Rattus norvegicus: one gene and its partner. The protein of the gene in region 1 purifies or fractionates together with the protein of each later gene. This does not show direct contact. Links are inferred from orthologs where the notes say so. Each region holds a gene or a part of one and is shown on either strand. Other genes may lie near its edges.

What was found.
Region 2: the proteins of Hnf1a (region 1) and Pcbd2 purify together in Homo sapiens (affinity purification with mass spectrometry; 4 studies listed by BioGRID and IntAct, with this or other methods). This does not show direct contact. The link is inferred for Rattus norvegicus from reciprocal best matches to the Homo sapiens genes HNF1A and PCBD2.

Annotation. Positions count from the first base shown.
Region 1 is NC_086030.1:47,305,222-47,309,072, reverse strand, and holds the start of Hnf1a (hepatocyte nuclear factor 1-alpha), read right to left. Parts: upstream 2,829-3,851; 5' UTR 2,679-2,828; coding exon 2,353-2,678; intron 1-2,352. UniProt on the Homo sapiens protein: Transcriptional activator that regulates the tissue specific expression of multiple genes, especially in pancreatic islet cells and in liver. Binds to the inverted palindrome 5'-GTTAATNATTAAC-3'.
Region 2 is NC_086035.1:8,849,838-8,853,358, reverse strand, and holds the end of Pcbd2 (pterin-4-alpha-carbinolamine dehydratase 2), read left to right. Parts: intron 1-1,518; coding exon 1,519-1,599; intron 1,600-2,782; coding exon 2,783-2,878; 3' UTR 2,879-3,010; downstream 3,011-3,521.

The DNA of each region.
Region 1 (3,851 bases):
CCAGCATGAGGGATCAAAAGAAGGGATAATGAGCGAGTGAGCGTAGGGAGGCTAGGGGGAGGGGAGGGGATAGAACTAGAACTAAGAGAATTTGCCTTTACTCTGTCTACCTGCTGACCCTGAGGGAGGGGAGGGAAAGGGTCTTGCCCAAGGTCACGTGGTAGACAAAGGATGGGGCTCTAGGAGGAGAGCTGAGGTGTCTGCGGTGGCCTCGAACGCCATGGGGTGGGGGTGGGGGTGGGACCTGAGACCCCAGACCCACCTCTCCCTCTTCCAAATCTTCCAAAGGTAGACCTTGGAATCAACAGCTACCATGGGGAGTTGCTTCTTTCTACCAACCCTTCCAGCCTCAACTTGCCCACTAGCCAGGCCCTCCTCAGGGGTCCTCCAGCCCTCTCCCCAGAGTCTCCCCCCACCCCGTCCTGAAACTAGAGGCCCCCACTTTTTGTCCCTGGGGACATGTTCAGGTCCCCTTTGTTACCTGAACAATAAGTAACCCGGGTAGTTAGTTATAAACTCCGCAGGAACAAGAAGCTGGTTGATAATTTATAGCAACATCTCGAATTTAAATGGAAAGCAAATAGCTCGCTGTTAGCATTAAAGAAAGGCAACCTGGGAGGGACACGCTCCAGCCTCCTCTCAGCTCAGCCTCTCTCCCCTGCCCCTTCATCAAGCTGCTCAGAGACCCTCTCTTTTCCTGGCTCTTCTGCTCTCCCCAGCTCCCCCAGCCCTCTTCTTCCCTCTCATCCTCCTCCTCACCGCCCTTGTCCCCTCTGCCTCCGGGATTCTTCTGGTTACCCCCAAGGAAGCACTTTGACCTCTGCTCCAGCTGCTGTGGACCAAGCTCCCCTTCAACCCCCACGGCCCCCAGCATGGGGGCTGCTGAACAAGAGGTCCTACCTAGCCAGGTAAGAAGACTCTTGGCCTCCCTGGCCCCTCCGCCTCATACTAAGCCCCCAGTCCCACCTGGGGCCCCTGAACGGGTCAGGCCCAGCTCCACCCTATCCAGGTTCCTTGCGCCCTGGTTCTGGTAATACTTGGCCCTTTGCCCCTCCCCTGCAGCGAGGCAGCACTTTGCCCTCCACTTTCTGCCAAGTCAGGGGGCCTGGCTGCTCCTCTGCCCCTTGCCTAAGGCCCTGGGAGGCTCTGCGACACTTCCAGAAATGCCGGGATCCACCAGCCCTCCCCCACCCCAAGTCAGGATCAGGACCTTGGACAGAAAAGAGGCTGCTTCCGGAGTGTTCTTGGGAGATTGTCCCCAAACTCCTCAGCCAGCCCTCAGGCCCCTCCTTCACAGCTCTTTCCCCAATCTGAGCCTCAGTTTCCCTATCTGAAAAGCTGGTTTATTAACCGCTTCCTTCTGGGGGGCTCATCTCTACATCATGGCGATTTAGGCACCGCAAAACCCCACAAGAAAATAGGAAACTGGGTGATAATCTCAGGAAACTGTGGAGGCTTTGGGACGTGGGGGTGGTAGTATTCCCCACGGCCCCCAAGTTACCTTTCCCCCACCTTGGTGTTCCCGTTCTCCACCCCCCCAACTGGGCATCTCCCAGCCACCGTCCCTACAAGTTAATGATCACAGGCCTTATCAGGGCCTTTTGCTATTTATAAATTTATAAAACAAAAGAAATAATAGCGCGCATGGGTAATTAGTAACCAGGGTGGCTTTGCTGAGGAGAGGGGAGGCATTGAAATTGGGACCCACCCAACACTCCAGGAGATGGGGAGCCAGACAACAGATGAGGAGGGCTGGTATGGGGAGGCCTCTAAACCTGCTATCTGACCAAGTTGGGGTCAGGGGGTGGAGGGAACGGCACCTGGCCATGCATGGAAGCTGCCAGCCCTCAGCTCCATCTGCCTCAGGTAAGAAATCCAGGCGTACCCAGCCACATGCTTAAGGCCCTGGCAGATCAGGAAATCCCCTAAAACGCCAACATCAGCCCAGCCTCCTCAGACGCTTTCGGGTCCCTAAACCTGGGCTCTGACCCCCTAGCAAAGAAGGTGGAATTTGTGGGAGCCACAGGCGACCACCCTGGGGAAGGATTTCTACCACCCGCTGGTTCTCCCACCATATTCTTGGGGTTCACTTCCTTTGTCCTCCGTTTCAAAGTGACCTCAGGCCTGTCCCGGTTTCCTAAGGACGTGGCTGCAAACAGGAAGCCCATGGGTATGGGGTACGTAGGACCAAACTGAGGGGTAGGTTCAACAAGAACCCCTTGACCACCAGCCTGAAGACCACAGCTCCCAAAGCCTCTAGGAGGGAAATGGAACTTGCCCGGAGCATAGGGAGCATAGACTGGGCCGCTATGAGTTCCTGCCCGGGTGCTGGGGACAGGGTGGGATCCTTACTGAAGAAGTGACTCCACCACGGCTTTCTGGTGGGCTGCCTCCTCTGGGCTGAGGTTCTCCAGCTCTTTCAGAATGGGTGGCGCGAAGTCTTCCCCATCGTCATCCGTGTCATCTTCCGAGCCACGCGTCTCCCCCAGGCCATTGGGCAGCTCGGTCAGGTCCCCTCGAGTCCCACCGCAGGACTCCCCCTTGTCCAGGGGACCATCTCCAACCATCAGGTAGGGCCCGGGCTCCCCCAGAGCCTGGATCAGAGCCTCTTTGCTCAGGCCCGACTCGAGCAGAGCAGCCAGGAGCTCCGTCTGCAGCTGGCTCAACTTAGAAACCATGGCTCCTCTACCGCCAGGCCACGCGGCCCAAGGCCACTGAGCTAGCCGCCTCCCCCACACACGGCCGGTGTCTACTGCTGGCAGTCAACGGACCAGGCTCGCTGCACCCACTGCTCCCCCAAATCCCACTAGTCAAGCCCTGTGGGCACCCCCAACCCCCAACCCTGGCCCCAGCGGCTAGTGAATCAGGGCCCCTGCCTGCTCTGTTTACATTGGAGCTGGGGAAATTCTCCAAGGTTCATATTTATCCGTGTGCTTAGCGAAGGGACTGAACTTTGGACTTCAGCCTTGCAAGTGCAGGCCTCACAGCAGCGAGAGGGACCGGACCGGGAGCCATGGCTTGCAATTGGGAGTGAGCAGAAGGGCGGGTGGGGGAGGTGGAGCGGGAACCAGGGGCGCAGGGAGAGAGGCACCAGGAGCCAGGAGGCCTCTGGGAGCAGCGCTGGTCCCACTGCCCAAGATGCCTTCCTCCTGGCGTAGAACTTTAAAAGCGTGTTTCTTTGGGCCCCTGGAACAGTAGGAAGCTCTGGGCCACTGGGCCAGTTCTCAAGGGCAGAATTAGGTCATATTTCCTGGAGGGAGTCACTGCACCTCCATCCTAGCCCAACCTTAGGCTTCCCGGGGGGGGGGGGGGGGGGGGGCGGGGTAAAGCCTGTGTTTTAGCACTTCAAACGTCTGTGTTGAGGATTGTACTGGGTTATGATGTGTTGCTTCTTATCATTGTGTGATCCCAACCGGGACATACGTATGTGTGTGTGTGTGTGTGTGTGTGTGTGTGTGTGTGTGCGAGTATGTGTCTCTCTGTGTGTGTTTATGTATCTGTGTGTGTGTCTGTGTGTGTATATGTCTGTGTGTCTGTGTATCTAATCTATATGTGTCTATATGTGTCTGTGTGTGTCTGTGCATCTGTATGTGTGAGTATGTGTGTGTATCTTTGTGTCTCTGTCTGTGTATGTGTCTATGTGTGTGTGCCTGTGTTTCTAAACTATGTATATATGTATCTGTGTGTGTGAGTGTATCTGTGTCTGTCTGTGTTTGTGTCTGTATGTCTGTGTATCTAATCAATGTGTGTATGTATCTCTCTGTGTGTCTGTGCGCACACACACATATTTATTGTTTTCCAAGACAGTCTTACTGTGTCATTCAGGCTGACCTTGAACTTCTGATCCTCCT
Region 2 (3,521 bases), on another chromosome or scaffold:
GTCTGAGAATGAATTAAATTAAAAAAAAAAAAAGGCTGGATGGACACCTGGATGGCCAGTGATTTAGAGTATGCGGTGCCCTGCATAGGACCAGAGTTTGGTTCCCCGTGTGGGTAGCATGCGGCCACCTTTGACCCAGCTCTTGGGTATACATACCTACATGCAAGCACACACACATATATATATCATTTAAAAATAAAATCTTAAAAAATAACAGACGGGGGGAGCTGAGCTTCGAACTGTTTATGGAAGCACACATCTACACATCTAGACTGAACAGTAAGTTTGAGATCAGCCTGTGCTACGTGGGAGAGAAAGAAAAAGAAAAGGAAAATGGAGTCTAGGATCACATGACCATGATGTCATAGTATCAGAATTTGAATCCAGAGTTCCCAGGTTCAAAAGGCAGGAGGCCCTTTAACCACATCACTGTCTGTCACCGCTGGCCCCTTTCAGACGTCCTCTACTTCTGCCCATGCTGAATAAAATCCCAGCCCTCTAGACGGAAGTTCTGTGTCTGAATACCTGAAACGGACATCCCTACGCTACTCATAGCTTCCGTGGGCTCCAGGGGATCAGATTTGGAATGAAAAGGGGCAGGAAGAGTAAACGTGGTTTGCTCTGGGTAAGTCCGTTTGTAGCTAAATGGATTTTCCCCTCCCCTTCCTTTTAAAATGGATACCCATGACTGACAGTTCACAGGACCAATCATGCGTGTGCCCAGTGCAGGTAATCAGCATGGTGATCGCAGGGCATGTGCTGAGTCCAGACGGCAGTCCGAAACTTCGTCCTGTCTCCAGCTTCTTACGGACTTTGTGGTCCCCTTCCACAGAGGTCCCTGAGCCTTAGAGGGGGGCTGTGTGAAGTAGGATTATTATTTGAAGTCACCTTCATAAAAGTGTGAAGAAAAGCAAAAAAGACGCCACGGCCTTCTACTTGGCATCCCTGTTTGCCCTGTGGTGTGAGCCCGGCTGTCAGTGTTGTTGGGCGGGGTCCTTGTCTTGTTTCCATGCTTGACTTCTGCTGAGGCACACTGTCACCTCAGCTTGGTGGGGCTGTAGCTGTGTAGGAAGGTGGTTAAGGGTGGGCTGGGACGCGTCCGCCTCTCTTCACAGCCCTGCGGCTGATGACCGAAGTACCCCATTCACTAAAAACAGAAGGAACAGCTAAGGAGCAAATTGCCTCCCCCGATTGGGGCAGGTAGACCCAGGGCGCTGGGTTGAAGGGAAATTATTCTAGTGCCGTCGTCGTCGGGAGTCCTAGGACAATTAGGCCGTCCAGACAGGTCACTAGGTGATACTCATTTCCTGGTTTGTTTATTTGAGCCAGATTGTTTCCCCACCTAGCAGTCTGCTGCCCCGGTGCCCTGGCTTGCCCAGAGCAGCCCTTCCCCTGTGATTTCTCAGGCTTCCCCAGCAGGGCAGCCAGCCTTTATCTGGTTGGGCAGCTCTGGGGTCTCCCAGCGACAGAGCGCAGGGCGGGGCAGGTAACTAACTACTCGGACGCGCTGTTTTGCAGGCGTTTGGCTTTATGTCCAGGGTTGCCCTGCAAGCAGAGAAGATGAATCACCACCCGGAATGGTTCAACGTGTACAACAAGGTAACTGAGCCTCTTCAGTTTTGGATCACTTTAACTTTGGAACTGAAGAAACTTATGAATCCACAGGAAGTGCCGAGATTCTCTAAGGAACCCGGTGTGTCCTTGTTAATTAGTAACACAGTCAGGGCGCTCCTGGGAGAAGAGCTTGTCTTTCAGAAGTTCAGGCTCCATTAGGCTCCTGAGTTGATCTTGGATATCAGCCATGAAGATACAATTTGACGTATATTTTTGTGGAGGGGGGTTTCTTTGGAGGAATGTATTATTTAAGTCAGTCTCCCTATGTAGCCCTGGCTGGCCTGGAACTCACTATAAATACCAGGCGTGAGGGAGATCCTCCTGCCTCTGCTTCACGCTTTGTGAGGTTACAAGCATACACCTCCATGCCCAGCTCAGTTACCTGAGACCTCAGAGTTTTGATTTGGAAATAACTTATTAAAAGGAATGGTAGCAAACCAGATAGCGTGGCCTTACATGTCTCTCAGAAATCTCAGAAGACGTTTCTCTGTAGTAAATGTTTATTAAAGTTTTGACCTCCAGAGGGCAGACTGGAATGTTTTAAGGGGTGCAGCGAGAACAGCCCCCCACCAAGAGGGTCCTGCCCTTAGGATCTCAGCACGGTCTATCCAGATTTCTCTGAAGGGTTGTAAGTCGTCTTTGAGAAATGAGAATCCCACTTTGAAATTTTTTTTTAAAAGGAAACAAGTCCTAACTGACCAGTTCCAGGCTGAACTCCACCCCACCCCCCACCCCCATGCTTCTGTTTGCTTTTCAATCTTGTGGCTGAGACATGCCCGTCTCCTCAGTTGGCAGCCTGCCTGCTTTTGTAGCTCACTCAGTGACTGCCTGATAGGTCTGTGTGCCTGCTCTTTCCTGGTGGCCTGAACAGAGCTGGTGTAAGTAAAGTCCTGGAGTTAAAATGGAGCATCTGTCTCCTTTCCTCCAGGAAGGCAGGCTCTCCATGCTGGCAGCTGACTCCCCTCAGCCTCTGGGAGCCTTTACTCTTAGGCGGCTGCTGCGAAGCTCAATGGTTTGGGAGACTGTGTTTATCCATCAGGTGTGCTCTCCACCAGCTAACCCCCAGTTCTCAGATGGGAATGTTGGGAAGTCGACTGATATCGACATCCGGGGGGACGCCATGCACGGGTCCCTGCTCAGGTCTAAAAGTCTGCTTGTCCCTTCATAGGTCCAGATCACCCTCACCTCGCATGACTGTGGAGGCCTGAGCAAGCGAGACGTGAAGCTGGCCCAGTTCATTGAAAAAGCTGCTGCTTCTCGGTGATCGCCTTTGAAACGCACATAAAGGCCTAATGCCTGCCTCGTTTGCAGTTTTCTGAAAGCCATTTGTGTTAATAAATTACGTCACAAATTAGTTCATATTTGCCTGAATAAATTGTTTTGTATGATTGATACAGAATGATTTGAAGCCAAGACTCGGTTACTTGTCATTACACCTGGTCAAAGACGATGATAAACCAACCTGAATTATTTAAAAATTAAAAATGTGTGTGTGTGAATATTTGCATGTAAATGCAGCCGTTTATGGAGGAGCAGTTGTGAGCGGTCTGACATGGATTCTGGGAACTGAACTCAGAGCCTCTGAGAGAGCAGTATGACCTCTTAACTGCCAAGCCATCTCTCCGCCCCCAACCTGGGTTGCTCTATGAATAATAGTTTCAAAGAAATTCTTAAGAATTCTTTTAACCTTAAGAAATTCTTTTTCTAGATAGGTTCTCATGGTGTAGCTAGGCTGGCTTTGTATTGTCTATATAGTCCAGACTGGCCCAGAAAAAACCGGAGTTCTGTTTTTAGATTTATTTTATGTGTATGATGTTTCACTTGCATCTATGTCTGTGTACCGTGCGTGTGCCTATCAAGGTCAGAAGAGGGCATCCCAGCCCCTGGCACTGGGGTTAGGGATATTT